Arabidopsis thaliana: one gene and its partners. The protein of the gene in region 1 interacts with the protein of each later gene in a pairwise test. Each region holds a gene or a part of one and is shown in the gene's direction. Other genes may lie near its edges. The genes, in order: AT4G32295, RFI2, MYB84 and AT4G22250.

What was found.
Region 2: the proteins of AT4G32295 (region 1) and RFI2 interact in a two-hybrid assay, tested with the Arabidopsis thaliana proteins (one large-scale study listed by BioGRID).
Region 3: the proteins of AT4G32295 (region 1) and MYB84 interact in a two-hybrid assay, tested with the Arabidopsis thaliana proteins (one large-scale study listed by BioGRID).
Region 4: the proteins of AT4G32295 (region 1) and AT4G22250 interact in a two-hybrid assay, tested with the Arabidopsis thaliana proteins (one large-scale study listed by BioGRID).

What each region holds. Positions count from the first base shown.
Region 1 is NC_003075.7:15,589,469-15,597,800, forward strand, and holds AT4G32295 (histone acetyltransferase), read left to right. Parts: upstream 1-3,419; 5' UTR 3,420-3,491; coding exon 3,492-3,592; exon of another isoform or gene 3,593-3,699; coding exon 3,700-3,814; exon of another isoform or gene 3,815-4,032; coding exon 4,033-4,147; intron 4,148-4,226; coding exon 4,227-4,612; 3' UTR 4,613-5,087; downstream 5,088-8,332. Other genes in the region: AT4G32290 (Core-2/I-branching beta-1,6-N-acetylglucosaminyltransferase family protein), read right to left, coding at 371-1,525.
Region 2 is NC_003071.7:19,549,513-19,558,111, reverse strand, and holds RFI2 (RING/U-box superfamily protein), read left to right. Parts: upstream 1-3,464; 5' UTR 3,465-3,760; coding exon 3,761-3,953; intron 3,954-4,326; coding exon 4,327-4,499; intron 4,500-4,620; coding exon 4,621-4,679; intron 4,680-4,786; coding exon 4,787-4,812; intron 4,813-4,901; coding exon 4,902-5,190; coding exon of another isoform or gene 5,191-5,269; coding exon 5,270-5,606; 3' UTR 5,607-5,798; downstream 5,799-8,599. Other genes in the region: AT2G47720 (uncharacterized protein), read right to left, coding at 973-1,064, 1,362-1,488; AT2G47710 (Adenine nucleotide alpha hydrolases-like superfamily protein), read left to right, coding at 2,156-2,339, 2,442-2,536, 2,774-2,895, 2,980-3,067; AT2G47690 (NADH-ubiquinone oxidoreductase-like protein), read right to left, coding at 6,060-6,161, 6,595-6,849; AT2G47680 (zinc finger (CCCH type) helicase family protein), read left to right, coding at 7,241-7,400, 7,766-7,943, 8,086-8,259, 8,447-8,594. UniProt on the Arabidopsis thaliana protein: Mediates phytochrome (phyA and phyB)-controlled seedling deetiolation responses such as hypocotyl elongation in response to red and far-red light. Required for light-induced expression of LHCB3 and CHALCONE SYNTHASE (CHS).
Region 3 is NC_003074.8:18,424,000-18,432,170, forward strand, and holds MYB84 (myb domain protein 84), read left to right. Parts: upstream 1-3,735; 5' UTR 3,736-3,941; coding exon 3,942-4,077; intron 4,078-4,212; coding exon 4,213-4,342; intron 4,343-4,434; coding exon 4,435-5,101; 3' UTR 5,102-5,282; downstream 5,283-8,171. Other genes in the region: BCAT3 (branched-chain aminotransferase 3), read left to right, coding at 1-143, 249-380, 472-570, 648-764, 956-1,051, 1,154-1,266, 1,357-1,474. UniProt on the Arabidopsis thaliana protein: Transcription activator. Positively regulates axillary meristems (AMs) formation and development, especially during inflorescence.
Region 4 is NC_003075.7:11,765,012-11,772,545, reverse strand, and holds AT4G22250 (RING/U-box superfamily protein), read left to right. Parts: upstream 1-3,982; 5' UTR 3,983-4,216; coding exon 4,217-4,861; 3' UTR 4,862-5,091; downstream 5,092-7,534. Other genes in the region: IM (Alternative oxidase family protein), read left to right, coding at 196-344, 476-665, 799-892, 1,275-1,390, 1,478-1,586, 1,678-1,746, 1,914-1,985, 2,087-2,134 and 1 more; AT4G22240 (Plastid-lipid associated protein PAP / fibrillin family protein), read left to right, coding at 5,319-5,740, 5,861-6,056, 6,142-6,456.

The sequences.
Region 1 (8,332 bases):
TTCACTCTATCTACAGTGTACATTTACATAAACCCAGTGTATAGTCAGAACTCAAAACCCACATCACTTTCCATTCATAGTCCAATAAATATCTCTACTTTTGTCAAATGTCCATTAAATATCTTCTCGTATCCAATGTAAGGTTTCAATGTGGCTATTTGGTAATGAATTGGTTCCATTTGCTAATATGAAGATTATGATGAGATTCGAGTAGGACGAGTTTACTTTTTTACTCACGATAATGGTATACTCGGGTTTTTGTTTTTCCCAGCTACCCATTTAAATTACAATTATTATTTCCCCACAAAAAAGAAAAAAAAAAAAACTAAAACTAAAACTGAATTTACAACAATACCATTAGAGAAACCATTCACACACCACCGGCTGAGTCATTGAACAAGACGGTTCGAGCCATACCCAGCAACGGCTCAAGAGCCTGCGGTGAAAACTTCCTAGCAAACAGAAACGGATCCATCCGCTCAACCTTAGACCACTCCGAACCGTTGATTCCATCCTCACCATATCTTGGTCTAGTCTTTCTAAGCCGCAAGACCAGCTCAGGCACGACTTCCTCCGGCTCGTACATCCTCGGGTGACCACCGTCGTTAACAGTCCAGTCCACGTGAGTAAGCGTGGCGGGGACACATCCACGTGGATCCCGCATATTAAGAAGGGTAGGAAAGTAACTTTCTTCAGGATAACACGAGTCTTCCCGCACGCACGTCTGGTTAAACTTCACCCATATACGCCGATCACGCGCCACCACACGCGCGTGTCTCCGTTTCAAAACCCAAAACTGAGACCCGATCCGAAACTCCTCGAGCTTCACCTCCGGAAGCATCGCGTGTCTCCCAATCGCCGTCCACCTATCGAACTGCCACGGCTCGTCTTTAAGTATCTCGATGAAGCTCTTGCGCGACGAGACTAATGTCTTGTAAGTGAAGTCAAAGGAGCGAATTGGTACGCATGAAGGTGATATAACCGCAAACATGTAATTCAATGGATCGTCGAGAAGCGCGTGTGCTAGTAGTCTACGCGCCGCCGCAGTTAGAGTGGGAGTGTGTCTCAGCGAGGGTTTAGAGTGAATGACCCGGTTCAAGAACACGCCGGAGAACGGCGGGTCGTATTCTCGGGTCGGATCCGCGTGAACGTAGACATTGTAAAGATTCTTGGAGATTCCGTCGAAGAACATCTCCCAAAGAGGCGCGAACGGAAGAGGCGACGTCGTTAAGTACATAAAAGCTATTTTCCGGGTCGAACCGGGAGGTAGATTCGGGTTAACCCGAGAAGATAGTCGAAGAAGAGGGTCGTCTTCTTTGGGAATCGGCTGTCGAATCCGAACCGCCGGAGAAGAAGAAGAAGAGTCGGGGACATTTCGAGAGTAAAGAGAGAAGACGGAAAGAGAGCGGAAACCAAACTCCGGCGAGATAACGCAGGTGAGTTCTCGCTGGACTGTGAAGATAACAGCCACTGGAAGACATAGAAATAAAGCGCAGAGGAGAGGAAACAACGTCGGAGATATCATCTCTCACTCCACCGGAGGATTAGAAGAAATCAGTGACTAGACTACTTTTGCTTTTTAGAGAGAGAAAGAAAGTGTTCTATTATTATCAACGACATTTGGTTTCTAGAGTGAGAGAGTGGGATTTGGTGCAACTTGTTGTATCTTATTATTACGTTAAGAAATTATATATTTAATTCGAGTACACTAATTATAGAAATATATAATTCAATGGCATTTCATATTTGGAATTTTACATCTTTATATAGAAAAGTATTCGTCTTCTCTCGAGTTGTCATTTAATATACATAACGTTCTTAGTTTTATTTGGCCACTAATTCTAATAATTTTGATCACTGTACTGTTTATCCGAAAAGAGTATATATGAATTGAATTCTATTTGGTTATCATTTCTTGTACTTTATCAGTTTGTCATAAATCTGACTAAATCATAGGCCACACATAATGTGATTGTGTATGTATAAAGAATTTATTCGTTTGATTAGTGTGTTCAAAGCTAACATTAAAGGAAGGAGTCATAAAAATATTCGATTTACGTGGAGGGTTCTTAGTCTTACAAGTGGATTGATGGAAACCGTTGGATGGTAAGCTTTCTAATGACATCACGTGGCTGCGTGAATTTTCGTAATCGATCCGTTTTAGGAAACGTTTCCGTCTCGAAGGCAACAGCTTTGTTGGATACGAGTTTCTCTGTACGGTGGTCCACGTGGTCGACATGCAATAGATTTGGGCCTTTAAAAATCTGAGTTTTTGGGCCTTTCACTAACGACGAGAAACCTTAAGGTGGTTTTCATTTTGAGTTTTTGAGTTCAGACTTGAAAAGTTTTAGGACGATGGGTCTTCGGTAATGTTTTAGACCTTTACTTTATTTGTCAGCAACGAGATTTTATTTTAGTTTGTCAATTCACTGATTTTTTATTTATTTACTAGGAGTTCGCGGACAATCGGTTTATTTGATTCTTATACTAAATTTTTGAATGAATTTGATATTTTAAACTTATAAATATAAAACTTTTTAATTAAATATAACTAAATAATAATTGGGATTTTTTTTTTTTTTGTTATTTAGTAATAAAAGGAATGTATTAAAATATGTATTAATTAGTTATGTGTATGTAATTTTAGTAAAAGTAAAGACTATATGAATTATGTTATTTATAATTATATGTCTTTAAAGTGAAGATAAAAAAAATAAAATTATTTTACTTATTTTTGTTGAACGGAATTAATTTTATTGAACGGTTTAGATTGAATCGGATCATATAAAGTTAAGTAGATTGTTAAGACCAAATTACCATAATGATTTTGAATAGCAAAGAACAAAATCCAAAATTAAAATCAAAATTAAGGCGAAATTAAACAAAATTTTAATTTGTATTTCCCTTTTAATAATAAAGAGATTGACGTCATCTTGAATGTTTCAGTGTCAGCGAAAAATTATGGCAAAAGATTAGACGCGGTACGAAAGCAATTCACAAGATTTCATTTTGTTTCCTTTATTATTACTTTCAATCATACGATCTTCTTTTGTGATTTGTAGAGAAAAATCATACTTATTATGCTTTTTAAGTCGTTCTTCTTTTTTCCTCACAAGACATGCAATCAATTGAGACCTCACTGGACTGGGTGATTTGACGCAAGTTATCCACGTGTCTTATTTAAATTTGACAGTTCAAAATCACTCCAACAGTTGCCTAAAACTCCTAAATAATTTGGTGAATGGTAGAGTTTTTAGTTATATTTTAGTAAATTATTGGACTGCAACTCTACATAGAGTAGGCCGGACCATGATAAGTTTAGGCAGACTAAACCGGACCGGACCGGACCGGACCAGTTGGACAGGACTACCTCTCTCCCCCACCACACTCAAATAAATTATTGAGAAGTGAAAACTAGTGAAGAACAACAATCTCACTTTGTCTTTTTTTCTCTCTCTCTCTCTCTCTCATAGAAAAGGAAGTGGTGGAAGATGCCGAGGCCAGGGCCAAGACCGTACGACTGTATCAGAAGAGCTTGGCATAGTGACAGACACCAACCCATGAGGGGTTTGCTCATCCAAGAGATTTTCAGGTCATCATCATCATCTCTCTCTCACTTTGGATATCTATCTGTGTATCTATAGGTTTGTGTGTGTGCATGTCTTTCTTTAGCTCAATTGTTCTTTGAACTATTTGTAGGATTGTTTGTGAGATTCACAGCCAATCCACCAGGAAAAACACAGAATGGCAAGAGAAGCTCCCTGTTGTTGTCTTGAGAGCTGAAGAAATCATGTATTCCAAAGCCAATTCTGAGGTTTTTCTTCCAACATTTTAATTACAAAGGATTGTTTCTAAATAGTATTTCGATTTTCATTTTTTGCTTTTTATTGCCCTCTTTGAACAGTGTGACTGATAGTCTCTGGTAATCTGTACTAAACCTTGGATTTTATGGAGTTGATAGAGTGGATTTGTAGCTAATGTGTTCATTTGGAATATGAATATTTTATATACTTCTTGTGGGTTTGATGTTAGGCTGAGTATATGGACATGAAGACCCTTTTAGACCGTACAAACGACGCCATCAACACAATCATACGACTTGATGAGACCACCGAAACAGGGGAATTTCTTCAGCCTTGTATTGAAGGTATACAATACAATCTGTATATTCGAGCTTTCGGGGATTATTGGCTCAGATCAATGAGCAAGTCTTGTTTATTATGTAGCTGCATTGCATTTGGGGTGCACACCAAGGAGAGCTTCAAGGAGCCAACGGAACATTAACCCGAGATGTTATCTTAGCCAAGACTCAACTAACTTGGACAACATGTTGTCCCAAGTATTCATGAAACCAAACAACTTTGCTCCAAAGAATCTTGCAGTAGCACAAGAGAATTGCCCTGTCTCCAAGTACTCTGCCTACCCTTTATGCTATTCATTCCGGCCAATCAGTGACTCGTGTAAGTCCAAGAACAGTAGACCGGCGAGTCTCATTGACGCAACAAATGGCATTACCTTTGGTGGGTGTGAATGTGATCTATCTCTGCGCTTAGGTCCTCTTGGACCTCCTACTCAAAAACGAAGTAAGATAAGCAGCAACAATAACAACTGAAAAGGAGAGCAAGATTGGGTTTTGATTAGCAAGTCTTGTGTTAGAAGAATGTGTGCTTAGTTAGGCCTTTTAGTCTCCTCTCTAGACCCTAGGTTTAGGTTTGTGAACATGTAAATAGAGAGACGAAGTAACAAAACAGGAGATGAAGTCGTTTTCTTCTACCTGCATCAATCTCGAATCATCAGACTTCACGAATGTATTTTTACATTGCAACACTGTTCGAGAAATATCCATTCCACATCTCTGTTTTCACAACAAGCATATTAAATGCCCTACATTGGATTTTCCATCGAAAGACTTTAGTTAGACTCCATCTGATTCTTCGGCGACCGATGATGACTCTAGCAGGCTCCTTATGAAATGGGCTTTTTTGAGCCAACTCAATTTAGGCCCATTTAGTTGCAAGTAGGCTGAAGAACATTCGGTAAAACGGATCGAACTTAAAGTTTCGTTTGCATTTTTATGAAGATAAGACACACTTGTAACAACTTTGTGGAAGATTTTTGAAATCGTCTGTTCTACAGAAAAACCGAGTGAACTTGGACGTTAATCATCATAATCAACATGAGATTCTAAGTACATTAATTAACTATATAATTCTTGATTATTATATGATTTCATACGATCCAGCTGTTCGACATTAGACTCGAATTTGAATCAAAGAGGACAAATCTTAGATGCAAAAACTATCTTAACAACCAAATCTTTTGTGTAGATATACAAATGCTCTTGCAGATATTAGTAGTTAAAAAGGAAGAGAAGATATTTTATTGTGTGTTATAAACCATTGGACCTATTTCAATTTCAAAAGCATAATTAAACTAATTCCTTGACAACCTGGAAGACCTCGTCAATTCTCAGTTTTCACCTAATACGAATCTTATCAACCTGTGGGAACGAAACACACTTACCAGCATTTTTCCAAGCAGTCCATTGTTGAAAATTGGCAAAGTAAGATTTTAAAAAGGGCCAACTTTTTTTGTAGTTTAATAATTTTTTCACAAAAGTAATTTCTCATTGGATTATGAGTAAAGCTTTTCTTTCTCATTACCCAACCTGGTCCATTATTATACATATATGTACAAGAAACAAAATATTATAATTTATGTCTTTACCTAAAAGATGATCCAAGTAGTTCCAATTATTAAATCACTAACCAATTGACTCTCTACGTATTGGTTTGACACGAAAGGACCGTTCTCATGGATTCTGTTTTGTTACGATATAATAATAACATAATTATTATTTTTTCTTGGACCATTATTGATTAATTATGTAATCTTAGTCATACGTTGACGGCTTTCATGAATCATGATGATATCAAAAGAGATCATCCGTATGATTGTAGTGGAAGCGACATGCGGACTATATATGTCACGATATGCTAAGATAATATTTTTACTTTGTTAAATGATATGTTAAGATAAGATTTGCTGATTCTTGTAAACACACATGCCTACATACGTAATAATTTATAATGCATTCATGAAATCATGTTGTATTATGATACATGTTATACATATCTAGATGTAACATGAAATAACGACGTTGTAATATTTTATATTCGTCAACATAGGAGATTTGGTTTATTAGTATTGTCCATGCTTTTAATTATAATAATCGAGTTTGAAATACAGATGTTAATTCTATAACAGTTTGTATTTTTTTATATAAAACATGTTTTCTTACAACGGATATACAAAGTTAAGTATACAAATAGTAGTTAAATATTAGGAATCATATATCCAAATGTTATTCTAAAAAGTAAGCAAAGCTTCTTATAGAGGTGTCAAAATAGGTAACCCAACTCAACTCAACTCATAATCAAATGAGTTATGGGTTGACCCAACTCATTTTGTTAAATGAATTGGGTCAACCCATAACTCATTTAATTTGATGGGTTGAGTTGTTAAATGGGTTAACCCATTTAAATAATAATTTAATTAATTATTATTATAAAACAATAATAAATAATTATCATTATTAATAATTATTAATTCATTATCATCAAACTTAGAATATTTACAGATTTCACCGTTTACGGATTTACGTTTTTGGCGGGAAAATCACGTGTTTTCGTTTTTGGCGGGAAAATCACAGGTTTTTGTTTTTGGCGGAAAAATCACGGATTTTCGTTTTTGGCGGGAAAATCACGGGTTTTCGTTTTTGACGGGAAAATCACGGGTTTTCGTTTTTGGCGGGAAAATCATGGATTTTCGTTTTTGGCGGAAAAATCACGGGTTTACGTTTTTTGCGGAAAAATCACGGATTTACGTTTTTGGCGGGAAAATCACGGGATTATGTTTTTTGGTGGAAAAATTACGAGTTTACTTTTTTCAATTCATCGCTTGTATATTTAAGAAATTTGGAAAAATATTGATTTTATTAGATTGGTTTAGATGTGTTGGTTAAACTTAAATTGACATTGGTTTAGAGATTTTAGTTGGTTTAATTCAATTTTACAAAATTTGATGGGTTAATTGGGTAAACCATTGAAACCATTAACCATTACAACCCAACTCATTTTACTCATCAAACCAATTGACCAAATAACTCATTTGACCCATCAACTCATTTGAGTCAAAAATTTCAACTCATTAGGGTTCATGGATTGAGTTGAATTGAGTTAACTCATGAATTTTGACCCATTTTGACATCCCTAGCTTCTCATAACATTATTCTTCAATAATTTCCATCAACTGCTTTGCCGATCTTTAGACCAGCTCTTTCTTTCCTTTAATTTCTTATTCGTGTGGAAAGGAATCGTCGAATAGACAATGTGTGAACTGAACTTATACTCTCTTTAATTTTTGAAGTGGAACAAAAAATTAAACTTCCTTTGATATAGCAAAGTCTTGCTTATTTCATATGAATTATCTTATTGAAACATTTATAGATCATTTTTGCTTGAGAATTGAAGTTTTCATTTTGAAACAACTCTACTTAAGTATCTTATTAATGAATACGTAAGAACTTACAACTTCAATGTTTCAAAATAGATTTAAATATATAAGGAATAGATAATGTTTTTGTATAATTCAGATAAGTTCTCGAAGGAATATATATATATCAAGATGTATTTGAAAAAAAAAATTATTAAAAAGTCCCACATATATGTATATATATATATATAGATATACTGAAAATCATTGAGACAAAAAACATTCAAAATCAGTAGAGCTTATAGGTTATAAGTAAAATGACTTATATTATTATAAAGAAAAAGACTTATAGAACAAGGTGAGAACGTAGTTACATGTAGTATATATATAGACAATGGACATACAAATAAATGTGTAAATATTGTGTAATGTACTTATAAATATTGGAAGATGCATGTTTGAGGAAGTTGCACTTAAGGTTTAGGGACGTTCGTAGTGAGACTGAGACCTCTTGCGCTGTCACTGTTTAGGCCACGACGAATCAGTCTGATCCGTTACTATTGCCTTGCTGTTTACTAATATTCTTTATTATTTATAATTATTTAATTGTTTTTTTTTAATCGTTTAATGCTTTCACAGTTTTATTTTAATTATAATATGGAATACACTTGGCGATTCGCCAACTAATTCCTGAATAATTTATAATTGAAGATTTGAATGGGCGTAGATGATTGCGGGTCATTAATACCAAGTTAACTCCCAACTACATTTTTTTACATTTGAACAATCAATATCAATTATTTTAAATTAAACTATATAAGCATACCCCTCCAAATAA
Region 2 (8,599 bases), on another chromosome or scaffold:
ACATATAGAAATCACGGATTTATTGACTGAAACAAAATTCCCCTCACTAATTTGTTATTTTGCAAACAAAAAAATCAGTTAGATTCATGTCAATATAGCTAATCTATGTACATGTAAAGAAATTTCATTGAATAAAAATAGAAAGACACAAACATCACATAAACTGTTCTAAGGTAATCCTTCCTTCCTTTGTAAACATACAAATCCAAAAGTGTAGAGGAGGTCGTCATCAATGACATAAGATTCTAGAGTTATAAGTGTGGATTGAAAAAGTCAACCTCTCCTAGAAACGAATCTCATCTTTCCTGAGACGACGACTCAAAAGAAAAGACTTTTTACGTGTAAACGTATCATTCGATATTAAACTACTCCCAAAACAAATAATTTAAGGACATGTACAGACAAAGCCCACCTGTTTTTATTAATTTTCTAAAACCCATAACACCTTTTGACCAACTAACTCTCAATCCAATTCAACAGGAGAAGAAGGATCAATAACAATAACAATAATCAATCCCCTTATGTTATAACTAAATCTAGTTGCTGGAAACAGAACCATCTCCCTCCTCATCAGATTTTTGCATTACCATCTACAATTTGGAAACAGTTATATGGTGATTATATACATGTCAAGAATTCAGAAACAAACACTTGAACTTTCATTATCACTCTCTTCATATGCAATTTTACTCTTGTAATGTTGACCTTTCTTTTTGTTGTTTTTTTCAGAAAAATATATATGCAAAATAGTATTCTCAATATGAGATCCAACGTAATTAACTAAATAATCATTAAGTGATTAGTGGTTCAACATTTACATATATACATACTCTCTCTTCTTGCCTCGAGATTGACCGACAATTCCATAACTAACCGGAAACCACATATGTTACCAAAGACACAAGCCTAAAATCCAGAATCTCAACAAGATTAATATATATAAAGGAAGTAAGAGAATGCTGACTTGTTGTTTCAAAACACAGAAGGCGGCTTCAGACAGTTATGATACTCGAGCTGAGACATCTCTCCTCCGTGTACTGGATCAAAACTGGCCTTTGTAGAAGCTGCAAAACACCCAAAAATCAAACAAAGCTGCTGATCCGACTTGTAGGACATTATTAAGGTTAGGGTATGGTTCTCTTACCTCCCATCCATCCCAAGAATCTGTGTTCTTCTCATGTCCAAATGCCACTATGTATTAAGATCCTTCGACCAACCGGAACTGAGCCACTGACAACTCTGAGCTGAAATACTTTGGTAACACTCCTATATGGACAAAGAGCAAGGTTTGATGATAGATAAGAATGATGACGTCTCAAAATGCTACGGAGAAACTGGTTTGGGGTTTAAGGTATATGTACCTCTGAGTAATGATAGAGATGATGACGGTGATAAAGCAGCATGAATTGCATCAGGTGCCTTTCGGGATGTGTCCTTCCCTGGAGATCCAGAATTGATTTTCAGACCGACAACATGAACAGTGGCCATGGGAATCTGAAGATTCTGGAGAAATCTGAAATCAGATAAAAAAAGGTAAAGAGTAGCGTCAAGACGAAGAAGAATATAACTAAAAGCAATTTGGTTAGAGAGGTTTCTGTCGCACTCCTGCTTTTGCTTCACGTCGTCATATTATTCTACAGCCGGCCGTCTCATTTTTATTTTGTAATTGTTATCATCTGAGCCGGATTTTACCCAACTCAAATCATTCCACTATTTGAAATTAGATTTTTCTTGTAATAGTTAATTTCCAAGTAAAATCGAAAGTTATCAAACCAATTCATATCAGTTTGTTACTAAAAAGCTAATAACTGTTAACCTGCAAAATCCTTTTATGTACTTTGTTTTATGGGTAATATTCAAATTAGAATAAATTTTGTGTAAAATCTGTGGGTTCTTCTTATTTAAAATCTGTGGGTAACTTTAAATATTGGGAAATTTACTAATGGAAAGGCATAAAGAAATGAGGACCAGCCACGTCATCAAATCAAAGTATCACATTCCTCTTTTCTTTTTATTTAAAGAAATTAAATAATAGAAGAAGAAGATACCAAAACTCTCTTTTTCTGTGCAAACACTTTGGAGGATTCTTCTAGGCTTCTTTCTACCACAAACACAAGAGCGCGTTTTCTTCACGCCGGCGAACAACGTCAGAGTCATGGCCACCGGAGATGGGAAATCGGTGATGGTCGTCGGAGTTGACGACAGCGAGCAGAGCACTTACGCCTTGGAGTGGACGCTCGATCGTTTCTTCGCTCCTTACGCTCCCAATTATCCTTTTAAGCTCTTCATCGTCCACGCCAAACCTAACGCCGTCTCCGCCGTTGGTCTCGCTGGTCCCGGTACGCTCTTTGCTTTCACTCTCGAATCTACTCTTCTAGGGGTTCTGTTTTGGGCAGCGATGGGGAGAGATCATTTAGGTTTTGTTAATCTGTGTGTTTTAGGAACTGCGGAGGTTGTACCTTATGTTGATGCTGATCTGAAGCATACCGCTGCTAAGGTTGTCGAGAAAGCCAAAGCAATTTGTCAGAGCAGATCGGTACGATCTTGCTATTATCAAACATTCAAATTCGTTTTATGTGTTTCTTGGATTTTATAATCGTCATCATGTGTTGTATTGGACTCTATTAGATGAGTTTGGTAATGTGAATGTGAATCTCTAGCACATTTAAGAGCTTCAAGCTAAGTAGCACTGGTTTTTCTTATAGTAACTATCTATCTTTGGTTAGCAACTATCTTCTTCTTTTCAATCATCATTCCTAGGTTTGTTGTGTAGGTTCATGGCGCGGTGATCGAAGTTTTCGAAGGTGATGCAAGGAATATCCTATGTGAAGTTGTAGATAAGCATCATGCTTCTATTCTTGTTGTGGGAAGCCATGGATATGGAGCTATCAAGAGGTATTATTTCATTCAGCCTTAATTCTTATGATCAATCTTTCAACTATACACCCATTCTGATTCACTTGTCGGTTTGTGTGGCAGGGCGGTTCTCGGGAGTACGAGTGACTACTGCGCTCATCATGCTCATTGCTCGGTGATGATCGTGAAGAAGCCTAAGATCAAGGTCTGAAACCTAAGGGAAGGCTACTCGGTCAAAGCAAAGTCTCTGCATAGTCTTCTAATTCAGAAGAATAAAGTGAAATAATATTAGCTTGATGTGAAACAACGATTCAAGACAATATACATTTGCATCTATATGTGTAATTGTTTACTACATACAATGTTTTGGTATCCTTAGACAATCAATATTCGTGTGTTATAATATGCTAATCTTTCTCATAACAAAATGGATGTGAAAGTTATAATAAACTTCATATGAAAGAGACTAGAGAAGAAAACAAATCAACTAAATAGAGATTAATGATTTAAATGAACAAATTTATAGTTTGGTTGTTGGTTCAGATGGATGGATGGTTTGATGATCATCTATCCAAAACTAAAGTAATAAAATAATAATAAAAAATTATCCACAATGGGAGAGGAAAGAAAAGAAAAGGGAGAGTCCAATGTCATTGTCCGGTTTTGAACCACGTCATCTCTAACAGGTCGGACGAGAGAGAGAGAGAGAGAGAGAGGAAGAGGAAGGATAGATTTACCGCATCGGCGTTCCAAAAGGCAGACGAACTCGGAGAGACAGATAGCGATAGCGAGACATGGTTTCTCATTGATTTTTGTTTGACAATCCTTTCTTTTCTTTTTTTTTGTTCTTTCGAAAAACGAAAATTTTCGTTGGTTCCCTCCGATTTGGCCTGCTGGTGAAGATATGGCCGGAGCTAAAGATTCGGGTTGCGATGATGATCTCCGAATTGCTGGTGGATGTGACCCTGGAAAACGCGGGAACCCGGAGGATTCCTCGTCTCCTGTCGAAGTCTCGTGCTCGATTTGCCTCGAATCGGTGCTCGATGATGGTACCAGATCCAAGGCTAAGCTCCAATGTGGTCACCAGTTCCATTTGGGTATTTCATTCCCTTCCTCCATCTCTTACCATTTTGCGTTCCCTCCATCACAGTTTGATGATCCGATGGCTTTTTGCTTGTACAAGCTTTTGTGCAATTATCTGATGGTAGATTTGGACGATAATTGAATGAATTTGAGAATATAGATGGATTCCTAATCCCTTGCTTTGTTTACAAGCTTAGATTGCCACGACTCTGCAGTTGGTTGATCCTAGAAATGATCGAGTTCTGACAAATGTGTGTCGTAACTTGTGAATCGGTTTCTTCTCTTGTGTAGATATAGAATGAGGCTTGCTAGTTCTATTATCTGGCTGCTGAATTTGTTGCTATTTTCGGCTTTCCCTTTAGCAGCTTGTTTTTTGGTTTCTTGCAGATTGCATTGGATCAGCATTTAACATGAAAGGAGCCATGCAATGCCCTAACTGTCGCAATGTCGAAAAGGGTCAGTGGTTGTATGCAAACGGTTCTACTCGCCCCTTTCCAGAGTTTTCCATGGAAGATTGGATCCCTGAAGAAGACTTGTACGGTTTAAGCTATCCGGAAATGGTAAAAGCTCACTACTTTGTGCAACGATATGCTTTCTTTTCGTGTACATGAGAACTGTGCTTTTATCATATAACCTCCTTATGAGAGATCGCTTATCCTGACATTTTTACGGGGTTTGCAGCAATATCGGGTCCATTGGTGCCCGTTTGGTGAACTCTCTCAAGCAGCAGCTTCTTTCGAGTAAGCCTACAACACCTTTACCATGGTTTTTGCTATTATCTCTCTTTTCTAAGGCTTTTGATCCTTCAAACGCGAAAGCTAGAATTGACTTTTGCTCTGTGTTTCAGGGAACTGGAACCTGCAACCACTACATGTAAGTTAGACGCTGATTGTTCTGTATATAATCATTTCATTTTGTCTAGCAATCCGTTTATAATGTCAAAACCCATATTTCTTCCTTAGATCATACTGAGTTCCATGGACATCACGCCGCTGCTGTGAATCATTCGTATCTTGCATATGTTGGACCTGGCCCAGCCGCTACCCCGAGAACTAGCGACAATAACAGCACAGATGATCATCCCTGGAACAGCCACTCTAACGATCACTTTCACCAGCTTCCTGTTGCCCCCCAGTATCATCACCATTCCCCATCGTTTTCACTACCCGCTGCTCATGTGGTTGATGGTGAAGTTGACTCTTCAGCAGCACGAGGCCTACCTTATGCGCATCCATTTCTTTTTAGTCACCGGTTAGCTTCTCAAACTCCCTATTGCTCTCAACTTCTTGCAGAGTGTTTTACAATATTCTTTTGGAATTGGGCATTGTAGGTCTAATCAAAGGTCCTCACCAGCAATTAACAGTTACCAAGGAAGCAGCACCCAAATGCGTGAACAGCATCATGCTTATAATCATCAGAGGCAACAACATCATGCCAATGGTCCCACTCTCGCATCACCTCTCATCTCCATGACAAGAAGGGGATTACCGCCGCCGCCACCTCCCCCACCAATGCCAGATCAGAACGTTGGATTCTTCATTTATCCAGGTGGACACCATGAACCAGAAACCGATCAAATTCATGCATGGGAGAGAGATTGGTTCCCACATTTCCCTGTCCCATCGAATCATCGCACGATCCCTAGCTTGTGGCATAGACACTTCTGAGAGAAGTTGTGTCAGAACTCTACAGTCGCCTGGGAGAATTCTATCAGGCTTAATGATCAATGTATAAAAGAAAACTGGGGACTTGTTTGATCGATCAAAACTTGTTTATGATGTAACTATAACTGGTTTCCAATGTACATTGTGAGCTTTCCAAGAACAATTGTTATAATTAATTAAACACAAGTTATCGACAAAATGTTGCCATTGTTCCTGGTTGGATGGAGTAATAGTGAAGAAGTAAATGATCCACAATCCACATGTCCATAATTCAGGTGGAAAAGTATACGTCTCAAAGAGACGATTTAACATAAAAAGAAAGCAGAACATGATTGGATAAAATTGAAAACTGAAAAACAATCAAAGCGTTTAGAGATTCCAAGATACAAAATCTTCCATGAACCTTTTATTATTCTTCTCTGGAATCGGATGAAGCTTGAAGGAGGATTGTTGAGACTAGTGATGGTTGTGAGTCCCATCTCCGGCTTCTTCACCTTTCCTCGAAGCTGCTCTTAGTTTACGCTGCTCCTCCTTGTATATCCTGTTCCTTCTTTGAAACTGCAACAACAGGTACACAACACATAAAAACTTAAACTTACAGCATCTTCATTCAAAGTAAAGAAACCACTGGTGTCAATCGTAATGTTCTAAGAGAGCCGTGTAATTGCAGAAGAAACAGTTGTAACATGTACAGAGATGATTTAGTTCCAGAAACGCCTAATCGATACATCCTATCTTAAACAAGAGAACATGATCTTTCAATGGCATCTTGATTCTGCAGCTGAGGATTCCGAAAATGGCCAATCAACAAAGGCATGGGACTCATTTCCCAATTGCTCGACCTGATCTAGGATTTTTGGAATTTCGACAACTAAGTGATCTAGACATCACAATCACACTGATCTAGCCGGAAACAGTGGCGAACATCAGAACCATCAAATCAATGAAATTCTTCAAACAATATCACCGGAAAAAAGAAGTGGGTACCTACCTCTTTGGAATGGTGGAGACACTCGAGGTAATCTTCACGAAGAAGGGTACAATCTTTGGGCTCTCTGCAGTGAGACATACATTCACTGAAATCCATCCAGAAATCGTAGCATCTCCCTTTGTTTCCCGTTATTCCCCATCCCGACGCCATTTCCTCTCCAACCCAAATCGGAAGAACGCAACAAAACCAGACAGGTTCGTCAACTTCATCGAAAATGGTTCGGGTTCGGGTTTTTGGATGACCCGAGATATCCATTAATGGACTTTTTTATTACTGGGCTATGAGTGGGCCGGTTCTATTTGTAAGTTTTTTTCCTGCTTTTTTTCAAGTGTTTTGATTGGCGGCACTTTTTTGCCCATGATATATATATGTCCTTTCCTTAGTGGGACCTAGGTAATTCGCGGCAAGCTCTCCAGTGTGTGTATACACCCGCACACATTTTGACTAGTCAAACCTAGTCAACTTATTAGACTTGAGAGATCAACGAGCGAGCTAAACGTACGCTCGTCGCACCTGATCGACGCTCCCCTAAAACCCCCCTAAAAGCGTAGAGAGGAAGGATGTGATTGGCAGTATTAGAAATACCAGAGACTGGACTAGACTCTGTGTGTAGAGGAAGAGAGACAGTGCTCCGCGTACGACAACAATGGCGGTTTCTTCGCCGACTTCGTCTTCCAGCTCTTCTGAATCGTTACCTTTACCCTCCTCCAACTTCGCTTCGCTTCCGATTATGGCGATGAAAAGGAGAATCATCGACAAAATCCTCGAGAATCGCGTCACTCTCATCGTCGGCGAGCCTGGATGCGGTACCTGCGCTCGCCTTCTTCTTTCTCTTATTCTATTTTTCTTCCTTCGTTCCGAGACGACTTACTCTAGTTAGTAATCTGCATTTCCGTTGGGGTTTTTGTTTTTGTTTTGTCGTCTTCGTCATTTTGATTACAGAAATGCTCCGTTGGGGTTTCTTCCTGTATGACACCAGATTTTGAATGTTTTCTGTGAGTGGATAGTCCATTTGATTCGTTTCTATCTTAACGCGTTAAACGGAAATAGTACAAGTTGGGCCATATTTAGCTTCCCTGCGCCTTTGAACTGTTGTGATTGTAATGGATAGCTGGATTTTCGACTCATCTCATACGTAGTGTGGTTACTTACTTGTCCTTCTTTGCTTCAGGGAAGAGTTCACAAGTTCCACAGTTCCTTCTGGAAGCAAACATGGCTCCCATTTTGTGTACACAGCCTAGGAGATTTGCGGTTGTAGCTGTTGCTAAGATGGTTGCTAAATCTCGCAACTCCGATTTAGGTGGAGAAATTGGTTACCACATTGGGCATTCTAAGATTTTGACCGAAGGGTAACTATCATTATCTTCATCTTCTTGACTTATAGAACAATATCTCCTTTCAGTTTCTTCTACTGTGTCCGAGTTTTCAGGACAATATTTGGCTTTTTCCCCCTTATTGATGACTTTTATGCAATTATCCTGTTGCATGCAGGTCGAAAATTCTGTTCAAAACTGCTGGAGTTCTGTTGGATGAAATGCTAGACAAGGGGTTGAATGCACTAAAGTACAAGGTTATCATTCTTGATGAAGTGCATGAAAGATCTGTGGAGTCAGATCTTGTTCTTGTCTGTGTTAAGCAGTTTCTCATGAAGAATAATGACCTCAGGTTATAACCCTTTTCTACAACATGATGTAATTACTTTAAGGTTCTTAAATTGTTTCGCGTGGTTGTGTTTGCTGATAGAAGATAAGTCAGTTCTATACTATACCGATTCATTACTTCAACCGTGTTATCATCGATAACGTTTGTATTGAGGTCATGGTTATTAAAGAGGTGATTTGATTAATTACAGGGTGGTCTTGATGTCTGCAACTGCTGATATAACAAGGTACAGAGACTACTTTAAAGAACTAGGCAGGGGTGAACGCGTAGAAGTAGTTGCTATTCCTAGCCCTGACCAGAGAACAATTTTCCAGCGAAGAGTATTATATCTTGAGCAGGTTAA
Region 3 (8,171 bases), on another chromosome or scaffold:
ATGGTAATAACATCCTCCTCTTTCGTCCTGAGGAGAATGCAAAGCGTATGAGAAATGGTGCTGAGAGGATGTGTATGCCTGCTCCAACCGTTGAGCAGTTTGTAGAAGCTGTGACAGAAACTGTACTAGCAAACAAACGTTGGGTAATGAATCACGCAGTTTTTTTTGTCTCCCGATATGCAGAGGAAATTATCTAGATATTTGTTTGCTGTTATGAATTTAACTTGTGTTTGGTGTCTTGTTTTTAGGTTCCACCACCAGGTAAAGGTTCCTTATATGTTAGACCATTGCTAATGGGAACAGGAGCTGTTCTTGGTCTTGCGCCTGCACCAGAATATACTTTCATTATCTATGTTTCGCCTGTTGGGAACTACTTCAAGGTCTTTCAGAGTTACTTCGATCTATTCCAACTATCTAAGATTTGTTGTATGTTTCTCTGAATGATGATACGGATTTATATGATGATGTCAGGAAGGTGTGGCACCTATCAATTTGATTGTGGAGAATGAATTTCACCGTGCAACTCCTGGTGGTACCGGAGGTGTTAAAACCATAGGCAATTATGCTGCAGTAAGTAAAAGCTTATTTCACTTATTGATTTTATTGGACCAGCTTTCGTAACTCACACATACAAGTTATTTATTTAGGTACTGAAGGCACAGTCAATTGCGAAAGCTAAAGGATATTCCGATGTTTTGTACCTTGATTGCATTTACAAAAGATATCTTGAGGAGGTCTCGTCTTGCAATATTTTCATCGTGAAGGTAAATAAAAATCAATCTCTCGGAATCTGATGATGCCTTGTAGAGTCTATAAGATGTCTCTCTTCATAAGACGTAGGAGATGATGAGATTGAGACTCTGGCACCATGTTTTTTTGGGGGCATTCTTACAAACATATCAAGATACTGATTCTCTTACATAATGATTTTTTAACCAACACTTTTCTTTGCCAGGACAATGTGATATCTACTCCTGAAATAAAAGGAACCATTTTACCCGGTATTACTCGAAAAAGTATGATAGACGTGGCTCGAACACAAGGGTTTCAGGTGACCTCTTCCCCTTCTTTAAATTCCCAACATCTTTAAAGTGGATCATAAGTACTATTATTGGCTTCTGATCACAGTGCATGTTTATACGGTATTGTTCAGGTGGAGGAACGGAATGTGACAGTGGATGAATTGTTAGAAGCAGACGAGGTTTTCTGCACAGGAACCGCCGTGGTTGTCTCTCCTGTTGGAAGCGTCACTTACAAAGGCAAAAGGTAAAACGTTTTTTCTTTGTATCCCAATTTAAGTGAAAACCAAACCTACCAAGTGGTAAAGCTTTCCCCTTTTTCCGAATACACACACAGAGTGTCTTACGGAGAAGGTACCTTCGGAACTGTGTCGAAGCAACTCTACACCGTTCTGACAAGCTTGCAGATGGGTCTGATTGAAGACAACATGAAATGGACTGTGAATCTTAGTTAAGCCAGGCGAATGCATTGCATCAATTCGGCTGCTTGGTTTTGCTTTCTTTTCTTTGGTCTGTGGTTCTGATTCGTGAAACTATGAGTTGGATTGTTTAGAATCTGGTTGATCTAGAACTTAGCTGGTTCAAGATCATTAGATGTTGTTGCATCATACCAATAATATTATCTTTAGATCTCTGTTTCTGATTAGATGGTTACATCCAATTATTTCTCTAAAGTCTGAGACATCATTGATATCTAACAATCAAAAACTAAAAAGTGAAGTATTAACATTTTAATCAGATTCAAACCAGAACTTATCAGTCATCAAAAATGTTGGCAAATAACAAATCAAACTTAAGTTTTTGGATGGAGAAAGCAAGCTAGATTCGAATCTCTAAGAAGCGTGGACTTGGACTTGTTTACGACCTGAAAAGATGTCATGATTATCTCATGATTACGAGATAATAACATGTCTTATCTACTAAACTAATCTAAAAAGTAGTGAGGATGACTTGAAACTTAAGTCTTATATGAATTATCTTTAAATATAGAAAAAGAAAGGAGATAGAGAGGTGTGTTTTTCATGTGAACAACTTTTTTTTACCTTTAGAGTACTTCCAGAAGACTTATTGGGTCCTTAATAAAAGTAGACCAAATTATTGAAGAGCTAAAAAAAAATGCCTACTCAAAATATCCAAACCTCTTCTTTTAGCCTTTTGTTTTTTTCAATATTCATACTAATGTAAACTACAATCATTGTATCATTCTATAATCATATGAATTTTTTGTCAACACCATGCATTATGCTAGTTTAAATTTAGGTGATGATATAAAGATATTTTAAGTACAAATCAATAGGGGCGATGTTCTTATGTCTTTATCTAACTTTATGAATTTGTGTTTTATATATTATGAAAAATTGGAAAAGAAGAGATGGCCTACGCTCAAGACCAATTCCTACCAATGGGCAATGGTGTTGAAATCTGAACAAAAAAATTTCCTTTCTTTAACGTTAGCTTTAAAGTTCAAAAAACTTTATTTACTTTTTCAGTGATAATTCTGTATAAAATAACATATAACAATGAGGAAAAAACTCAATAATTTGAATCGCTTATGACTTTATTTCTCCAAGTGCTTGACTTTTAAAACCCTAATGTCCAATCTCAACTAAAGTCAACCTTTTTCGTTCGTCTAGAAGAGTCAGTCATTAAGTTTCAATTGAAGTATACAGTAAATTATTAGTACTTTTTATTTTATTTTAACCACAGTTCATTGGCTGTATGAGATTTCTGTTCAAGAAAACATATAAATCGAAACCAAAGCAAAAGACATTATTTGCTTCGGTTTCTTCTACTCAAGCTCATTTTTAGTAAAACTAAATTGTATTTTCATTTTCTTAAAAAGTTAATTGTTTTTTTTGTAAAATCAGTTTTACCAAATTGGACACAATAATGAATATATGTCTATGTCTAGTTTTTTTTAGCTCAGAATATATCTTATGTGAATAGAATCGTCTATCAGATATTTTTGTGATGCAGATAGAACTTACCGTTATAGAATCATTTGTAGATTGTTCATCGTGATTGTTAAGATTAGATTCCCATTTGTAATATAACAGAAACTCGAAAAGTACTTATATTAAGTATTAACGATGTATCATGTGACCAAAATAGAAAATACTACGTAATGATATGATTATTAAGCGAGTGTGTAGGTAATTCAAATATTTCAATTAATCAATCTTTGATATCACTCTTTAGAGTAATGTATTATCTTTCTTATTGTTTTACCCTGGGATTAATAAGTTTACCGGATCCGGAGTAGAATTTCTTCGGTTTGGCAATTTTGTTCACCTACCATAACGAACTTTTACCCTTATACTTAGTTTCAATCTACTTTTGGTGCATCCTTTCATTTTCAACTGCAAAGAAGTAGTTAAAAGATCCAATACATAATATATTTAATTTATCATAAGTAACTTAGTGTAAAGAAAGACTAAAGTACTTTTTAAAATATGTATTTGTATTTCCCGATGTGAAAGAAAAGAAAATTGAATTTGCACATATCAATAATATTAGCTAGGAAAAAACTTGTGAGAAATTTCTTTGACGACTTGCGTGTGCAATAGTCTTCCTTATCTTCTCTACCATTTCTTAATTCCACTATTGTATAGTATTTACTTATGTTGAATTAATAAATTAAAACATTTAAATTTCCCTAAAGTTACTTTTTGATTTTTGATTTTCTATTTTTATTACAACTTTCCTACTTTTTGACATCTTTTCTTACAAAGACTTTTTGACATCTCCCCCTCCAGCTATTATATAGTCTCCTTTTTTCTTTTCTGCATTCACATAATATTTCCCCTATATAGTTTACACAACATCATACCCACCAACATATATAATCTTGATCATAGAGAGATAAACAGAGGCCGCTATCAAGAACAAGACTAAGAACAAGACTTCACTAGGAGTACAAGTATGGGAAGAGCACCGTGTTGTGACAAAGCAAACGTGAAGAAAGGGCCTTGGTCTCCTGAGGAAGATGCAAAACTCAAATCTTACATTGAAAATAGTGGCACCGGAGGCAATTGGATCGCTTTGCCTCAAAAGATTGGTATTAATAAATTTATAGTCACTCTTTTTCATATAAATTTGATAATTCTCTCTTGATCTATCTCTTTTTTTGTGAAGAAGTATTGATAACTAAAGATGCTTTTTGTTTATATGATTATTTCTTGGTTGTTTTAAGGTTTAAAGAGATGTGGAAAGAGTTGCAGGCTGAGGTGGCTTAACTATCTTAGACCAAACATCAAACATGGTGGCTTCTCTGAGGAAGAAGAAAACATCATTTGTAGCCTTTACCTTACAATTGGTAGCAGGTACTATTCATATACGTTATTCATGTATATATCGTTAAAATATCATGTGGAAACTCTGAAATATAGTTATGTGATGATGTCTATAATTAAAGGTGGTCTATAATCGCTGCTCAATTGCCGGGACGAACAGACAACGATATAAAAAACTATTGGAACACGAGGCTCAAGAAGAAACTCATTAACAAACAACGCAAGGAGCTTCAAGAAGCTTGTATGGAGCAGCAAGAGATGATGGTGATGATGAAGAGACAACACCAACAACAACAAATCCAAACTTCTTTTATGATGAGACAAGACCAAACAATGTTCACATGGCCACTACATCATCATAATGTTCAAGTTCCAGCTCTTTTCATGAATCAAACCAACTCGTTTTGCGACCAAGAAGATGTTAAGCCAGTGCTCATCAAGAACATGGTCAAGATCGAAGATCAAGAACTGGAGAAAACAAACCCTCATCATCATCAAGATTCAATGACAAACGCTTTTGATCATCTCTCTTTCTCTCAACTCTTGTTAGATCCTAATCATAACCACTTAGGATCAGGCGAGGGTTTCTCCATGAACTCTATCTTGAGCGCCAACACAAACTCTCCATTGCTTAATACAAGTAATGATAATCAGTGGTTCGGGAATTTCCAGGCCGAAACCGTAAACTTGTTCTCAGGAGCCTCCACAAGTACTTCGGCAGATCAAAGCACTATAAGTTGGGAAGACATAAGCTCTCTTGTTTATTCTGATTCAAAGCAATTTTTTTAATTATAATAATATATTATTCTTAAGATGAAACGTACATCATTATTATTAATTGGGGGTACGTAACGTATATATGGAATAACGATCTAGTTTGTTTAAATTTATTGATATCTCATATATCTGGATTTGAAATTAACTCTAATATGCAGAAGTATGAACTCATATGCGAAAGATCCTAGCGAAGTAATCACATTTAGATAAACAAAATTTGTTATTGTTACTTTTTTTTTTTTTTTTAAAGTAAGAACGTGTAATATGCATGTATGTATATATGTATGGATGCCTATGTGAAAAGAGTTAACACTTAAGAGTATATTGTGCATGATGTGTTACGTTTCCATTATGTATACAATATGATAATACATAAATTTACACGCATAATATACCTATTGGGCGCAAAGTTATACACATTTTAAAATGGGAAAATATTAATGGTGCTTTTGGGGCCTTGGCATATGAGCTGATTATATATGGTCGGATCCATATGTACGTGGTTGGATGTATTGATTGTATATATGCTTCTTTAATTGATTGTATGTTCATCCTACTTTTTCGAATAATTTATGTTTACCTCAATGTCGGATTGTGCGAAGCATTTAGCTGGAAACCATTGATGTTAATAATAAGTAAGAATTAACATAGATGGATTTATAAGGATATAAGAATTAATACCTAACCATTTGACCAATGAAAAGTTTGGATCACCAAATAAATGAATTGTGTGCAACTCTGAACTTCTCAAAGACATGACCTCTCTATTCCTAGCAAGTCACTAGTCTGTTTCTTATTTCCTCACAGAATCAAATGATGATGTCATACGAAAATTCTCTTTCCCTTACGAGTTTGGCACATTCGTTGCCTATTCAAAAATCAAATCAAATTTAGAAAGTCCTAAAATGACACTGTCGCTTGAAATATACGTATAAAAACTCTCGCTTCAAAAAATCTTTTGTTGATCAAACAATCCATTCAGTACTAGCTAGAAGGCTAGTTAGAAGTAGACTAGACTTCACGGTTCAATTAGATATTATCTTTGATCTTCATATATTCATGACTCATGAGATGATATAGGACAAATGAGATGATATATAGAATTATAGATAACGATTTCAAAGAGTATTACAAAAACAAATGCATCATTTTTTTCTTCTTAAGAGTATTACAAAAGTACTCTCTGAAAGACAAGAATGTTCCAAAACATTCTCTTCAAACAGCAAAATGACAAACATAATTATTCAATTTTTTTTGCCGTTAATTTAATATTCCTAAATCACTCACCAAAATTTCACTAATTAAATAGTAAATATCATATCCTTTTATCACAATCAAGAACCTTATTAAATGCTTTTTACTTGTATATATGAATGTAGCTGAAAGTTTCAAAGTACACTTCGTTATCAAAATTTCAAAATATGTCTTCCAATGAAGTCATAATCTTAAGACGCGTGGAAAAGTTCTTTTCCTAATGTACGTATCTAAGTATTTTTTTATGTAATAGTAATATATTATTAATCGTGATATAGGAAGAAAGGGACCTAGTGATGAAAATCATGCACGTAAGCCACTCGCATTAGTGATTCAGTGGATTGTAGAACGTGTCATTGGCATGCGACATAATCACCTTTGAACCATTTTTCATTTACCTACCAAAAAAACTATATTCTTTTTCAAAGTGTAAAAACGAAATGTCATAGAAATATAAAGAAAGTTTATTGTCATATAAATTTCCACATTTGCCAAAGCTAGCTACGTAAAATGCATGAAAGTAGATATCATGTGCATGTCAAATGAATCTAAAATGCAAGTAATCTTTTATAAGTATACTACTAACTAAAACATATATTAAAGAAGAGAGATCTTTATTATCTTCTTCACTTTGGTTACAGTCTTTTCAAGCTGGTTGGTCTTCTTTGTTGGATATTTGAAGTTGGAAAAAACAAAAAAGAAGAGAGAATTTTTTATTTTTAATAATTTGTAATCCTACATTATATAAGAGTAAAAAAAAACAGATGTATAGTAGAAAAACCAAACAAATCACTAAAGTTTTCTACCCTCCCGCTTTAGACGATTAAGAGTGATCAAAGAAATTTGTTTTTACTGTTAAAAACTTCTGAATAAGTAAGAAAATATCGAAAACATTGATGAGTTTGTGTCTTTTAGTTCATTAATTATTATATTAGTTATTTAAAAGACAAAAAATGACAACCAAAAGAAAACAAATTTTTATAACTTTAAAATACTCTAAACGATACAATGGTTTATTCATATACACACCAAAAGAACATTAACAAAAAATTTAAAAATTCTAACATGGCTGATTTTTTTTTTTAATAATATATCGTTAACTTTGTATTGGGTCAAGCTAAAAAGCAATAAAGAAGGAAAAGAGAATAATAACGGAGAAGAAGAAATCAAGAAACAAAAAATCAAGAATATAGGAACGAAAACTACACTACTATAAAACTAAGAGGATTAGATAAAATAATCTTAAGTAATAGATAACTAATTGTACATTCTGTCAAAACCCCTCGACGTTATGTAAACAAAGCCATATAAAACAATGATTGGCTTGGCGACATATAGCTTTACGACAACTAACAATGACTTTTATTTATTTGCTTACATACAAGTAAAAGACTTTGTCAAATAAAAATAATTAAAAGGACTTCTACAACATAATTAATTTTGATTCAATAATCCAGCCGATGTCGACACGCACTAGAAGAACGTTAAAAAAAATTCCAAAGTTTTTCTTTAAAAAAATGTCATTGTCTTAAAAGAAGGAAATCTCGACGTCAAAAAGAACTAAAAGAAATCTGTTTGTAACAGAAGATATTGACACTTTTTTATTTGTGGGAACGAAATTTTATTTTAGTTAAAAGGAGTGTGGAAATGGAATAATCCAATTGTTCTAGTGTTTGACGATTTCTTGTCATCTGCTTATGGCAAACAGAACTGAATTTTATTAAATCTGGTTCACATGATAATCATATTTTGTCGAAATAAAAATTGACCGTTAAGTGGTTCATATATATATATATATATATATATATATATATATATATATATATAT
Region 4 (7,534 bases), 3.8 Mb from region 1:
GAAATTTCTCCGGCCGTGATTTGTTGGACGCGTCGACGTCGATGGGGATGAGAAGTAGTGGAGAATCCGCTCACATTGGGATTCGTCATTCTTCTTCTAAAACCCGCAAAATTTCTCCATTTCTACCAAAAATATCCAACTTTTACTTTTCTTTCCTGTGAAATTATCTGCTCAAATCTTTGGTTCCTGACGGAGATGGCGGCGATTTCAGGCATCTCCTCTGGTACGTTGACGATTTCACGGCCTTTGGTTACTCTTCGACGCTCTAGAGCCGCCGTTTCGTACAGCTCCTCTCACCGATTGCTTCATCATCTTCCTCTCTCTTCTCGTCGTCTGCTATTAAGGTGTGCCTAGCTACAGCTAATATTTAATTGATTTGTTCACACGTGATTATGAAAAGGATTTGAATTTTGCTGTACTTTTGTTTCGTCCATTTCTAGTTTGCTGAAAATTGGAACTTTTTTGAAAACTTCAGGAACAATCATCGAGTCCAAGCAACGATTTTGCAAGACGATGAAGAGAAAGTGGTGGTGGAGGAATCGTTTAAAGCCGAGACTTCTACTGGTACAGAACCACTTGAGGAGCCAAATATGAGTTCTTCTTCAACTAGTGCTTTTGAGACATGGATCATCAAGCTTGAGCAAGGAGTGAATGTTTTCCTTACAGTAAGGTTTTATAACTCTTTTATTTACCTGAAACGTTATGTCTTACTAGAAATATAGATTTTTTGGTTGTGTTATTTTACCGGAAGTTATTTCATGTCTTCTGATTGTTGTCTTGTTTTCGTTTTCTCCGCAGGACTCGGTTATTAAGATACTTGACACTTTGTATCGTGACCGAACATATGCAAGGTTCTTTGTTCTTGAGACAATTGCTAGAGTGCCTTATTTTGGTAAGTGCATCTATTTGTAATTGTAGTTTCAGTTCGTTATAATATTTGCAAGAAACATTGAGCAGAGCATTAAGAGCTAGTCATTAGGTTTTGTATTCTTCAGAAGACAGTAAGATTGTGAACATCACTTGAGATGTGTGCAGAAGAAGAACAATGACGAAATAGTTGTGTTTGAGGAATATGTACTCTTTCTTATCTCATTAGAAGCATAGTTCAACTCTTAACAACAAAAGGCGATTCAGTCATCGAGATATTGGATTTGTTGAGAATCGAATCTTGTTTTTTTTAGTGTGTTTATCACTAATTATGGATCTGGATACCAAATGAAAAGTTGTTCCGAGGCTAGAACATAATGTTTGTTTCTTCTATATGCTCCTTGCAGCGTTTATGTCTGTGCTACATATGTATGAGACCTTTGGTTGGTGGAGGAGAGCAGATTATTTGAAAGTACACTTTGCTGAGAGCTGGAATGAAATGCATCACTTGCTCATAATGGAAGTAAGAACCAAAATGTTACTTCTCTACAAGTTTCATACTCTTTACTCACATAGTTAGTAATAGTAAAACAAATGTTTCTAATCACAGGAATTGGGTGGAAATTCTTGGTGGTTTGATCGTTTTCTGGCTCAGCACATAGCAACCTTCTACTACTTCATGACAGTGTTCTTGTATATCTTAAGCCCTAGAATGGCATGTAAGTTTCCTTTCCGCGTAACTTCTAGAAAGTAGCTGAATAAATTGCTTCTGGTCTACATGACTTCGTTAACCTTGTGTCACCTATGCAGATCACTTTTCGGAATGTGTGGAGAGTCATGCATATGAGACTTATGATAAATTTCTCAAGGCCAGTGGAGGTTGGTTACCAATGGTTTTTTCTTCTTTCTCCACCATTCTGTGTACCATTTACATTAGAACTAAAGTTGTTAATGGAGTTATTGCTTTGAAATATTACACAAAATTCTTCAACGATCTTTACATTCTGAATTGTTGTGCTTCATTTTTTTTTGGTTTCCCTAAACAGAGGAGTTGAAGAATATGCCTGCACCGGATATCGCAGTAAAATACTATACGGGAGGTGACTTGTACTTATTTGGTGAGTTTGTCTTTCCAGGAATTATCAATATCCTCCAGAGTTGTAGAGATGTTTTTACCTATGATTAGTAGTCTTTTAAACTGGCCCTGTATTGTCTGCAGATGAGTTCCAAACATCAAGAACTCCCAATACTCGAAGACCAGTAATAGGTAGCAAATCTATTTCATATCCGTTTAGTTCTTTCCATCTCTGATTCCGTCGAACCACAAAATGCTAAAAAAAAGTTTATGATTTATCCATGGTTATGATTCTGCGCTCTATAAATGACTGAGATTCTGTCTTATGTTTGTATGGAGGAAGCATTATTCACAGTTTGTGACTTACTTTGATGTTAAAATAAGAATCTATATAACGTTTTTGTTGTTTTGTGATTACGGTTGGGCAGAAAATCTATACGATGTGTTTGTGAACATAAGAGATGATGAAGCAGAACACTGCAAGACAATGAGAGCTTGTCAGACTCTAGGCAGTCTGCGTTCTCCACACTCCATTTTAGAAGATGATGATACTGAAGAAGAATCAGGGTGTGTTGTTCCTGAGGAGGCTCATTGCGAAGGTATTGTAGACTGCCTCAAGAAATCCATTACAAGTTAATAAATTAGAAAGTAAACTAAAAAAGATTATTTGTATCAGCTCATGAACAATAGATATAATCCCATATACTTGGGAATAAAGGAATAATGTGAAATTCCCATCGTTGTGCTAGTGTGTGAGAGAATCAAATACCCTAATGATGTAAATGTACTTTGATGAGCTTAAGTCGTTGTAGACCATTTTATCCATACTACTAGCCTTTGTGGTTGCATTGTCGGTTTCTTCAATTCTTATTTCACAGGAGTAAAAAAAATGTTTAAAAGTACAAAATCATTGAATGTATCATTCTCTCAAAAAGCATATTGGTATTAGCGTTTAGAATCTCTATATCCCACACTTTTATTTTTATTGGTTTTGTTGGGGAGAGTGTGGCGCAAAGACGACGTCGTCTATGCGAACATTTCACGTGGGAAAAGCCTTGATTCATGCGCCTTCTTTAATTTTTCTTCTTTTTTTTTTTTTTTTTTTGTCTCTTCTTTGCCTTTCACTTTTTAAAATGATTTTCCGCGGGTTTAATAACAAAAATGTTTTCCCGCCAGAAAGGTTTTACCAAAAAACCATGTTCCGGTTATAGCACAGGTAAGAGAATTCATCAGTCTAGTATAATTAGCAGTAATCAAATTCGAATACTTTGATCGTCGCTTTTATTTCAGAGTTAGCGTTACATTAATAGTACCTTTATTCGATTGATGATTTGTTTAATCTTTAATAGGGTTTGAACTCCGATGGAGGACCTTTTTTGTTGGTAATATTCCCTTCGTTTCACAATATAAGTTGTTTTAACTAAAAATACGTATATTAAGAATATTTATTTTTAAAATGTTCAACCAATTATAAAAAAAACTGTAGAATATAAATAATCATAAAGTATTAAAATAATATATAATTTGCATAGAAACTTGAAAACAACTTATATTATAAAACAAAAAATTTGGTATAAAACAACTTATATTATGAAACGGAGGGAGTATAAACTTAAGTACTAATTCGATTTTGTTTCTATTCGAGACCTTGAAGACTTTTTTATTTAATTTTAAAACTAAGTCGTACAGTTACAGAAACAGCATTAAATTTTTCCTCTTAAGTAAATTTATTTTTTCTCTTTCTATCAGAAATTCAGAAGAACTAACATTATAGTTGCCCCCATTGCGTACACTGTACATCATTTCTCGGTAAATTACACATAATTATAAGTTGATTAACCTTTTAAGTTTTAAACAATGATGTAAGTAACTTATTAAAAATTGGTTTTTAAAAATTGAAAGTTATATACTCAAGTTGGAAAAATATTTTACAAATATACTCGATTCCACTACTACTGTAATTTTGTGTGGAATACCAGTCAAACAGAATCGTTATAACTGTTAAAAATTAGTAAAACTGTATAAAGTAATTTTAATTCGCGGGAAATCAATATTCGGAAGCAACTTTAACAAAAAAAATAAAGAAATGTGAAGAGAAAAAAAAAACTCTGAAAACTTCCTTTATAATGTCATCATCACTGCGAGACCCAAAGATCTAAACAGTTTCTCTCTCTCCCTCACAGGGCTCTCTCATGGCGGAGCTAATCTGTCTATTTCACTGGTGATTCTGTTTCACTATCTGAGAATTTGTTTAGAGTTTCCGTTACCGAGTCGATGATGAGTGAACTCGATCTCGGAACGAGTCAGAGGATGACGGAAACACACCGCACGACGACGACGTTTCTTGATTTGCTCCGACGACAGATGAGCGGTCACGATCTCACCAGAAGGAAACGGACGTTAAAAGAACGGTTGAGATTCAAATGCATCGGATGCTGTGGTCCAACCTGGAATCTCCGTCTAACTAACAACACCACTCTTCACAGTCCAACCTCAAGAGACGACGAAATCGAAGAGTTACAAATTGAAACCGGACTCGTTCTCGAATCGGATCATGGATCGGGTACGGGTATGAATCTCGCGACAGCGTTAGAAGCGGAGAGGTATAACCGTGGAGAATCGACGGAGGCGGAGGCAGATATGACGCCGAGGAGAGTTTCGTTGATGAGATTGTTGGAAGAGACGGCGGAGAAAATCGTTGATGACGACGGGAAAGAAACGGAGATATTAACGGCGTCTATTGGGACGTTAACGGGTAATGATTCGGTGTGTTGCGTGTGTATGGGAAGAAAGAAAGGCGCTGCGTTTATTCCATGTGGTCATACTTTTTGCAGAGTGTGCTCTAGAGAATTGTGGCTGAACCGTGGATCGTGTCCTCTTTGTAACCGTCCGATCATTGAGATACTCGATATTTTCTGAAAACGATCGGACGGCTAAAAGTTCTCGATCCACGTGAGTAAGTGAGGTGATCCCTAGATACGTTTCCAAAGTTTTAACTACGGTTTGTGTACTTTGTACGTTTCTTTTGGTTATTGAAGAAGATGATGTAAATGCAAAAAAGAATACAAGAGGTTTTTTGTTCACGAGGCCCATTTAGTCTATTCAAGCCCAGTAAACCGTTATTTTGGATTTTATCTAGCCTAAACAATGCTCGCCTCACACCGTCGAGTGGATTCTTGGCCGTTGATCTTGTCTCTCACGTGGCAGTATCGTAGTCGAATGTACATGATCTATGTGGAATAGTCGATATTATCCCTCTTGGTGTGAGTTTGGTAGTTGATGAAAGCAAAACATTTACGTAACAATGTCTATAAAATCAGTACAGGTCTATTCTTGTTCACTAGCTTCGAAATTTTAGTCGAAGAAACAAAAAAAAATGGCGACGGTACAATTGTCCACCCAATTTAGCTGCCAAACCAGAGTTTCAATCTCACCGAACTCTAAATCTATCTCCAAGCCTCCGTTTCTGGTACCGGTGACCTCAATTATTCACCGCCCGATGATCTCCACCGGAGGAATCGCTGTTTCCCCCCGTAGAGTTTTCAAAGTCCGAGCCACAGATACGGGAGAGATAGGATCAGCTCTATTGGCGGCGGAGGAAGCAATTGAAGACGTGGAAGAGACGGAGCGGCTAAAGAGATCGCTCGTGGATTCGTTGTACGGAACAGATCGAGGTTTAAGCGCATCGAGCGAAACCAGAGCTGAAATCGGAGATCTAATCACACAGCTCGAGTCTAAGAACCCTACTCCAGCTCCGACGGAAGCTCTTTTCCTTCTCAACGGCAAATGGATCCTCGCGTAAGTTTTTTTCCGGTGAAAACTTTCTCTTGTAGTCCTGTAGATAGCATCATTCGTAGGATTCTGGATTCAAATGGTAGATCTCGTGCTGCTTTTGATTTGGTTAAACCTCTTTTGCAGCTACACATCGTTCGTGAATTTGTTCCCGTTGCTATCACGAGGAATCGTACCGTTAATAAAAGTCGATGAGATCTCTCAAACCATTGATTCAGATAACTTCACCGTCCAGAACTCTGTTCGTTTCGCTGGTCCTTTAGGTACAAACTCGATTAGCACCAACGCTAAATTCGAAATCCGAAGCCCTAAACGCGTCCAGGTAAATTGACCATTCATCGACCATGATCTGATATCAACATCTTGAAACGTTTTCAGTAATGTTTTGGATTTCATTTTTCTTGCAGATTAAGTTTGAGCAAGGCGTAATTGGGACGCCTCAGCTAACGGATTCTATTGAGATACCGGAATATGTAGAGGTTCTTGGTCAAAAGATTGATCTTAACCCGATCAGAGGGTTACTTACCTCGGTGCAAGACACAGCCTCGTCTGTGGCTAGAACCATATCAAGCCAACCACCGTTGAAATTCTCTTTGCCGGCGGACAATGCGCAGTCTTGGCTACTCACGACTTATCTAGACAAAGACATTCGGATCTCTAGAGGAGACGGTGGAAGTGTCTTTGTGCTTATCAAAGAAGGAAGCCCTCTCTTGAATCCTTGAACTTGGTCAAAATATATGTCTCTCTCTTGTCGTTGTGTTAAGTGAGACAAATATATAGTGTGGTTGTAGGTTTACTTCTTAATCGTTGTTATTAACTCGATGATAAGGAATATAATGTTTTTAACTACTACAGAACATCTCGTCTATGGCCTATGAAATGTGTCTCAGATTTTCACAAAATTCAAGTGTTTTAGAATTTCATTCTCTTCTGTTTGATTTAGAAAGTAAACTATGTACCGATGCAAGAGTTACATGAGAATTATCCCGGCAACGTCGGGTCTTTCGATAAGAATCGAGATGATGACTGTCATTTTGTTGTCTAATTGGTTCACTCTGTGCTTGATGCCTATCATTTTTTTTTTGAGGGACTCAGTCACTGGAAATGGTTCTATTAGTATGGTATGGGATACTTGTTAGTATAGTACTCGAGGTTTCTAGCATATGCCATAGAGTTTCTCAATATCTGAAGCCCTATTTTGAATGTGTTTGTTCTTTCTGTAATTTATTTAGAGACCATCAGGTAAAGGAAAAACTCAATTCAGACAAGAACATAAGAAACCTAAATTGACCAAATTTCTCATATAACTGAAAGTTTGAAACTGTGTTTTGTTATGTACAGTTTGGTGGAGGGTTTGATGCGGAGAGCATGAATCAGAGCCAAAACTGAAAGTGGAGGAGACAATAATAATGATAACAATGAAGAATAATCTGTAAACTGAGTTTTATTACTTTCTTTTTCTTCTATGTCTCTCTTTATCATTGTAGCACATATTTGCTATATAGGATTTGAATGGTTGCAACGGTTAAGGCGGACAAATTCGTTTGCGGTTTGAACTGTTTTTTATTTATCATTCATATTTGTATAGGTGCGAATTTAAAAAAGAAAAAAAAAACCACTGCAGATTAACTACGGACTGTTTTTACATACAAATATAATTAGTTCGTAACGGTTTATTGCCCATTTTAAAAATAGAGCGGACTAAATCGCTGACGTATTTGTCCGCTCTAACTACCGTTAGTAATAATATAGTTTGTTGTCAAAAATACATTCTTTTGTTTAGGTTTGCAGATGATTTTT